Oryctolagus cuniculus: one gene and its partner. The protein of the gene in region 2 purifies or fractionates together with the protein of the main gene of each other region. This does not show direct contact. Links are inferred from orthologs where the notes say so. Each region holds a gene or a part of one and is shown on either strand. Other genes may lie near its edges. The genes, in order: DNM2 and SNX33.

Evidence for each region.
Region 1: the proteins of SNX33 (region 2) and DNM2 purify together in Homo sapiens (co-immunoprecipitation; 3 studies listed by BioGRID and IntAct, with this or other methods). This does not show direct contact. The link is inferred for Oryctolagus cuniculus from reciprocal best matches to the Homo sapiens genes SNX33 and DNM2.

What each region holds. Positions count from the first base shown.
Region 1 is NC_091447.1:66,760,701-66,764,496, forward strand, and holds part of DNM2 (dynamin-2), read right to left. Parts: intron 2,515-3,796; exon of another isoform or gene 2,279-2,514; intron 639-2,278; coding exon 529-638; intron 1-528. UniProt on the Homo sapiens protein: Catalyzes the hydrolysis of GTP and utilizes this energy to mediate vesicle scission at plasma membrane during endocytosis and filament remodeling at many actin structures during organization of the actin cytoskeleton.
Region 2 is NC_091443.1:108,361,849-108,366,248, forward strand, and holds the start of SNX33 (sorting nexin-33), read right to left. Parts: upstream 2,858-4,400; 5' UTR 2,569-2,857; intron 2,099-2,568; 5' UTR 1,757-2,098; coding exon 298-1,756; intron 1-297. UniProt on the Homo sapiens protein: Plays a role in the reorganization of the cytoskeleton, endocytosis and cellular vesicle trafficking via its interactions with membranes, WASL, DNM1 and DNM2. Acts both during interphase and at the end of mitotic cell divisions.

The DNA of each region.
Region 1 (3,796 bases), on a different chromosome or scaffold from region 2:
CCTGATGAGGGCCCCGCCCGCTCGCCTGACCTCCAGACTGAATGCTGTGGAGGCAGTGACTCCTCCCGGGCCCCACCCCTGCCCAGATGCCCACAGCCTCCTCCCCCCAACCCCTGTGACCTCTCCCCCACGCATGGCCCCAAACCTGCTGCCGACTGCCCAATGACCCTGCCTCATTTTTCCCATCTCTGCCGATGGCGGCTACAGGCCCAAATCCCCAAGGTCACTGTCCATGTCTCCTTTCTCTCTGGCACCCAGAATCCATCCTGTCTTCCCCACGTCCTCGGACCAGCCCAGTTTCCACTGCCCTGTGATCCCCGCCACAGCCATCAGAGGGCGCCGGTGAGCATCCGAGCCAGGCCCTGTCCCTGCTCTGCCCAGAACCCTCGGTGGCTCCCCAGGCCCTGGCGGTCTCCCTGCACCCCCGTCTCAGCGCAGAGAGGCGTCAGCGGCACCTGCAGTGTCTTCCTGCTCCTCGCCGACTCCCTCTGTAGAACGCGAGAGCCCGGGGCGGGCCGCGGGCCTCACCTCTGCTCCGTGTTGAAGATGGCGAACACGTGCTTGTTGGACATGAAGCCCTTCTCCACGTCGCGGATTTTGAGGTTGTCCAGAGGCAGCATGTACTTCTTCTCCTTTTCCTGAGGATGCAAGCGAGGAGTCACCCGGGGCCCTGACGTGACCCCAGGGCGTCCTGTGCCGCCGCCAGCACAGCCACGCACCTGCTCCAGGGCCTCTGCCTGGGACGCTGCCCCACATCCGGGCACAGGGGACCTTCCTGGACTCCTCCCCACGCACCGCTCACAGAACCCCACCCACCACGGACCTTGTCTTATGCACGGACAGGTGTCCCCCACCTGGACTGGAGGGCGGGGGCTCCCATCCCTGTTTCAACCCTGGCAACCCTCACACAGGGAGTTCTCACATTCTAAGCTGTCACTCGACGGAGGGGACGGACAGCGACCTAGGCTGTTTCCACGACAAGCATCATGCACCCATTTCACGGTGGGGTAGACTGAGGCACAGAGGGGGACAGGGCTGTGGCTTCGTGGGTGACCCCAGAGCTGGAAAAAGCCCCATTCAGGAAGGGCCACCCACGTGCCAGGCCTGGAAGCCCCCACTGCTGAGGCGGGCAACCCCTCCAGTGCCACGGCCACTGCTCCTTGGAGCAGTTACATGGAGAGGGCGGGAGACCACACGTAACCCGCAGCCGCAGCCGCAGCCGCCCCCAGTGCCCAGTGCCAGGCTCTGCCCGCATCAGCTCAGAGAGGCAGGTGGGTGCTGGCCAGGAGTCTCGGGCAGGCTGGGCCCCAGGCTCAGAGAGGGACGCTGGCTGCCCAGGGCCACACAGCAGGTGGCCAGGCCCGTCTGACACAAAGCCAAGTTCTCTGTCCACGCCGCACCCCCAGGGCCTTTCTCCACCACGTGGGCTTCCAGACTCGTCACGTGCCTCCCCCCTGCTGCTGCAAGGGCCCAGAAAGAAATCCAACACAGCCGCAGTGGGGTGGGGGGCGCCCGGCGGGGGCTCCTTGGCAGGTGGGTGCTGGCTCGAGGCTCGGGCATCTGTATGGGGCGTGGGGCAGGCTGGGCCCAGCTCCGTGACCTCAGGAGCCCTGCCTGGCGGTGGTCAAAGTCGGCTTTCCCTCTCTCTGCCTCCCGGGTCTTCAGTCAGAGGTGGGAGGTGCAGGCTGGGGGCGGGACAGGGTAGAGCGGCCATGGCAGTACAGGCACTCTTGCCCCCATGCAGGCTGGGGGCCAAGGGGTGGGTGGTGGCTCAGAAAGCACCAGGGGTCCCAGGCAAGGCCCGGGGATGCAGGGCCTGGGTCTCCCCAGCCTCTCAGGGAACAGCTTGTGGGGGCTTTGGCAGTGGCCAGGGCGGGGGCCTGTGCAGGCGCGTTTGTCCCTTGCCTGGAAGTTTCCAGAAGGGCCTCTGCGGCCCCCACCCTCGCGTGTCAAGAGGCAGGAAGCTTCCAGCCGGCCAGGCCAAGTCACTGAGTCACGGGCCATCGGGCCCAGCGCGAGACGCCACATCTGGAACTGTTTAGAGCCAGATCCTGCCCGGGACCAGGGCGGCTGCCTTGCTCAAGCCGACAGCACACACCACGCACACGCGAGCACGCGTGCACACGCGCAGAGGCATGCGTGCGCCCCTGCTCCCCGCCCCGGGGCCCCCAAAGACAGCTGCTCGGGTGCACAGAGGCCACCGACCCAAACCCTCCGTCCCGCCCCCGCCCCTCCCCCCGCCGTAGGATTTCCTGAAAACCCACAGCTCTCTCCAGATGCGCAGCGGCCCCAGCCCTGCCACGTCACAAGGAACCGAGGAGCGGCCGCACGGCGCGCGCACATGGCTGCAGCGCAGCGGGGGCCCCGCGGCCTGGGGCCCCGAGACAGCCGGCCCCGCCCGCCCAGTGTTCAGACTACCTGTTCAGGGGACTCCAGATGTGTACAGTAGTCTGCACATTGGTTAGGCTGGGCCCGGGCCAGCGGCACGACGGACGGCCCCCACCCCCGCCCCAGGTGAGTGTCACCTGCCACCAGCCTGCTTCCCGCTGCGGAGGGGACGAGACAGAAGGTCTGGAGCAGAGGAGGGGCGTGCGGGGTGGGGGGGGCTTGGGGAGAGCTGGGGGGTCCCGGGCCAAGCCCCTTCCCCACGGCAGGGAGCGTCCTTTGTTTGCTGAGAGCTCGCCACCCCCAGGCTGCTGCAGCGAGGTGGCAGGGGGCCCCGTGGGGGGGTCGCTCACTCGTGCGCCTGCCCCCCCGCCAGCTTTGTGTCGGGCACACACAGGCTGGGCCCTGCCGGGTGGTCACTTGTGCGCCTGCCCCCCCTCCCCCGCTTTGTGTGTGGGGCACACACAGGCCGCTTCCACAAGGCTGCTGGTTCTCATTCCCCGGGCGCCCGCCCCTCGGGCCCATACTCCCCCTGCCGCCGGTCTGGGGCCCTGAGGGAGGGCGGGGGCTCCCGCTTTGGCTCTCTGGATGCAGGGAGACTGAAGGGGCCCCTGCGCAGGTGAAATCCAAGGGGCCCTGAACCCCGGGCTTCTGAGGCCACCACACGGGGCACCGCCGGGCTGGGGTGGCCCAGGAGCCCAGCCCCCACTGCCCCGGGGAGCTCGGAAGACCCCCACAGCCCTGAGAGCAGCCCCCGCGCACCCGGCAGCTGCTGCGTCCAAGGCAGGCGCGTTCCCGACGGTGGGGGCAGGATGGGGGTGGGGGAAGGACCAAGGGTCACCCCGACCCCCCAGCCCGGCTATTTTGAGGAACCACTCTGATTCAGACTAGTGGGTTCCTCAAGGGGCTTGGGGCAGGGACAAGGCTGTGCCTGGTCTCGGTTCTAGAATGTTCCATGGGGACTCCAGACATGCACAGAGCACCTCAGACGGGGCCCCGCAGGTGGGGCTGGGGTTCCAGAAACTTCCTAGAGATGAGTGCAGCCCCACATGGGGGGGATTCCACATTTCACCCCAAACCTTACTGTGCTGGGGCTGGGCGGAGCACAGTGACTGATACGCAAGGGTGGGGCGTCCCTCGGGTCCACAGGCGGCACACCCGCACGCAGAGCCCTCCCTGGCTGTGACACAGGACAAGCCACTGCTCAGATCCTCGTTCCCTCACCTGACACACGGGGTGAGGACAGCCTCCCCCGGGGCATGAAGACTTCCGGAGAGGGGGCGGCCTTCCCAGAGCTGGGGCTGCTGGGAGGCCCCAGTGCCGGGCACAGCCAGAGCACCCCCAAACCATCTGGAGCAGGACAGCTGGGGGAGAACCTGACACGGCAAGTGACGCCACCGCCAGGGAGGCT
Region 2 (4,400 bases):
GAGCAGGGCTGCTGGGCAGCGGGCCTGCACACCGTGCTCTGTTACCCGGCCGGGGTGCCCCCTGCACCCAGGGGCTCATCTCCGTGACCCCAGAGCCCTGTCCGATAGAGTGCAGGGGCTCCGTGCATGAGGTGTGAGTGGGTCAGGCACAGAGAGGAAGGCAAACAAGGAGGCCCCCCAGGACAGGGACCCCACGCCCTGCACGCTACCCCGGCACGCAGGGAGTCGCCAGCCACCGCGAGCAACCCACGTCCATGCCGAAGGAGCGGCAGAGGGTCCGGGCGCCCCGGAGCCTACCTTTCTGCAGGTGGATGATGTCGGGGAAGTTGGAGAGCAGGCCCTGGTAGAGGGACAGTGTGTCCAGCATCTTGAAAAGGTCATTCTTGGGCTGCTCGGCGAACATCTCCCCCACGGCCTCGTAGGTGCGGCCCGTGTGGGAGATGGCGCTGTTGAGGGCCTCGGAGCTGAATGGCGGGTCCAGCTGGAAGGCGTGGCTCACGGCCTGGAAGGCGCTGCCCAGCTTCTGGAACTCCTTGCGGAAGCCCCCGACATGCTTGCGCACCAGCTCCGACGCCACGGTGCTCAGCTGCAGCACGCTGTCGTCCATCTTCTTGCTGAAGGCCTTGAACGTGTCCACGCGGTCCTCCACGTCCTGCAGGTCCTGGTGCTCCGTGGGGATCTGGAAGGTGAGCAGGAAGCTGGCGCCCACCATCTCGTCCCTCTCGGCTCGCCGCTTGCCCATCTTCCACTGCTTGTCGTCCAGGCAGCTGAGAAAGTGCTGGAAGCCCTCGTACTGCGACAGCACCGGGTGGCTGGTCATGTGGTCCATCCAGAGCACCAGCCGCCGCTTCCGCTTCTCGATGAAGTCCTCCTCGAAGCGGCCCGTGGCCTGCTTCTCCGGCAGGTGCGGCACCGAGATGACGGTGAACTTGTGCAGCAGCCGGTTGTAGAGCCAGTCGAAATGCTTGTAGCGCCGGTAGACGGGCGAGCTGGCGTGCGTGGGCGTGAGCTTGTAGGAGATGTAGCTCTTGATGCCCTTGAACTTGGTCTGTTTGGTGGGGTCCTCCACAGAGCAGGCAAACGGGTGGGGGTTGGCCTTCCACTGGGGGCCGCGAGGGCCCATCTCGATCGAGTAGGTCTCGGCGATCTTGGCCATCATGGGCACGTCCCCCAGGATGAAGGCCTCCACCCCGGAGCGCACGAAGCACGAGAAGCGGTTGAGGTTGCGGCCCACCATGCTGCCCCGCTTTGCTGAGGCCAGGCTGTCCTGCCGCTCCAGGGGCGGCTTGGGCCGGAAGGCCATGTGCTGGCTGGGGTAGGCGCCCGGGTAGGAGAGGTTGAGCGGGGGATGCCCGTTGGTGCCCAGGCCCCCCGCGCGCGGCTCCTCCACCACCGTGCAGCCGTCGTCCCAGTCATCCCAGTCGTCGTCCTCCTCGTCCTCGAAGCTGCCCTGGTTGGAGAGGAAGCCGGGCACACCGCCGCTCCTGGGGCTGTCGTACAAGCTTGCCTGGGTGCCCAGGGAGCCGGCAGAAGCGCCGCTGTAGTGGTCAGCGTGAACGTGGTTGGCGGCGCCGGGACGGATGATCTCCACGTAGGAGGCCGGGAAGAGCCCGGTCTCGCCGCGGCTGTTCTGGCCCTGCAGCCAGCCGTCCAGCGAGGTCTCGCTGAAGATGACCAGGTCCTCGTCCTGCTGGATGCTGATCTCCTCCTTGTTCTCGCTGTGGAAGTCGTAGAGTGCCCGGCCTTTCAGAGCCATGGCTGGGCCGGGGGCAGGGGGTCGAGAGGGACTGGAAGGAGCGGGTCCTGCCCAGCTCGCGGCCACTCACTAAGATGTCCAAGGTTCCTTCCCCAGCTCAGTTTCCCGGCTCCTGAGGTGGGGTCTCTGCACCTGCGGATGCTGTCCAGCCGCCCGCTCTTTAAAGCAGTGTCCAGGGCCCAGCAGCGGCCCAATCAGGGATCTGGCCATGTGCTTCCAGGGAGGGAGGGCTCCCGGCCATGGTCTTCCTCCTCCCACTCCCAGAAGAAAAGTCAAGTGACCTGCGGGAGCCAGCTATGCAAGGCAGGGCAAGAATCCGACGCTTTCCACTGGGGCAATGTTCTAAAATAGAAGAGAGTCCCTGGGAATCGCGGCGCAGAAACCCAGGCAGGGCCCGCCCGCCCGCTGGCTCCCAGCTCCTCTGGCTGCGCTGGCCTGGGGAGGCGCTCACATTCCTCCGCAGATCTGCCCCTTCCTCCTTCCTCCTCCTCCTCCTCCTCCTCCTCCTGGTCCACCGGGTTCTCAAAAATCCAAGGGCGACGGGAGCAGCCTCCTGCGTCGAGGCCAGGGGTGGACGTGCCCGGCCTCTCCGCGGGCCGGGGGCACGCAGCAGACTGCCAACGCCTCGCCCCTGCGGGATCTGGCCTCACCCCAGGGAGGAGGGGGCGCGACTTCTGGCCACTGGCTGGGCGGCCTCTTTTGTTTGCCTAATTCCTCAACACTTTGTGAGCCTGAAGCTGACCCCGATCGGAATCCAGGGATCCCCTCCTCCCCACCCCCGAGCGCCCGTGCGCACGACCCCCGCCCCGCACCGTGCGCTCAACTCAGCAGTAGTTCGGAGAGTGGGCTCCACGTCCGCGCTTCGCTCCGCCCCGCGGGTCCCAGCCGGTGGGGGGACGGGCTGCGCCCCCCAGCCTCCTTCGCCCGCACTCGCCGCCTGAGAGAAGCCAGCTCCAAAGCAAAACAAAACAAAACAAAAAAAAACAGGGATTCCGGGAGGAGGCGTCCGAGACTGAGGGGAGGCGCGGGGGGCGGAGAGAAGCTGGCTGGGGAGTCGGGAGAAGTCCGCCGCACTTCCGCGCCGCCCGGCGGGGCAGGCACGGCCCGGCTCCGCCCCGCGTGGCCCGGCCCCCTCCCGCGCCCCGCGCCCCGCGGTGTCCGGAGGGCGCGCCCCTGCCCTGCACCGTCCGGCAGCGCAGCGAGGAGGCTCCCTGGGATCCCGCCCGGCTGCGAGTCTTCGGGACAGGAGCCCCGGGCGCCGCCTCCCCGCCCCCAGCCCGCCCGCGGCCCGGAGTCGCCCCCGGGCCCCCGGGACTGCGAGCGCCACGCGGGGGAGCTCGCCCGCCGCCGCCGCCGCCTGCAAGCCGGCCTCGGCCACCCTCCTGCCTTTTCCGTGACGCAAGTGGAGGAAAACTCCGAAAGTTTGCAAAGCGCCGGGTTGCCAGGAGGGCGCCAGCGCCGGGCCGCGGGCGCGGGGCGTGGAGAGCCAGGGATGCGCCCTCCCCCAGGCAGATACGGCCAGGAACAGCCGTGCTCCGGGCGACTCGTCCGCGGGAAAGGCAGGCGCCTACACCTGCGGCGACGGGGCACGAGCCTTGGCAGGCCGGGCGCCGCGGCGCTGGGTGACGGCGAGGGCTGCGTGTCCTGTCCTGACAGCGGCGGCCACGAGGAGGGTGCGGTGGGTCCCGACCTCTGGCCCGCGGGACCTCTTTGGTCGCTGGCTCTGCCTGCCTCTTGCCTTGGGGGCCCCCGCTGGTCCCCATCCATTCCGCCTCTGATTTATTCGGTCTTGCGCTCAGGAAGCATCGACAGGGTAGCGACTGCACCAGGCCCTCGGGCTACAGGGACAAATAAGGCCTGGGGGGGTGGGTGGGCTCGCCTTCTAGAAGTTCAGGTGTGTCGGGAGAAGCGTCATGAAGAAAAGTGGGAGGAAAGGCACCCGCCTCAGCCAGGGTGGAGCAAGGATCCAGGAAGGCCTCCTAGAGGAGGAGGTGCCAACGAGTTCAGCATTGATCCTCTTTCCTTGGCGGTGCCCTGTAGCTAAACTTGCTGCCCCCGCATTCGCTGTCTTCCTGCTGTAGAGGAACTGGCACCAGGTGGTGCTGTTCCTGTTGGGTACCTTGGGCTGTTGGGGGTGGGAGGGCTGTGGCTCCAAAACTCAGACTCAGGGTGCAGGAGGAGGATCTGACTCCCCCTGCAGGGCTGGCGTTTGGCCATAACTGAGAGCCCCGGTACAAATGTGCACAGAAAGTACACCGCGGAACAGAGTGGAATTTGTGCATCCATATGTCAGAGACACTTAGGGCTGCTCCTTGGAGCGCCCAGTTCCCAGAGGGTTGGGCCGGTGAGCCTGGAACGCCCAAGCCGAGAAAATGGGAGGGGTTGACAAGTCTGTGAGCCAAGAAACCTCACAAGCGTGTCTGTCCCCACCCAGGGCAGCCGGGCTCTGCAAGGTCAGAGCCTGGGTAGGTCCCCCACAGCTTTTGGGAGCTCCCCCCACTTCTTGGGTTCTCTCGGGTTCACACAGCCTTTCTCCAACCTGAATTCACTCACACGATGCAGCTGACGGGATTTCTGCTCCCCCAGCCAGGGTCTTGGGCCACCCACCCACCCACCCACCCCCCACTTAGGGCCCAGCCACCTT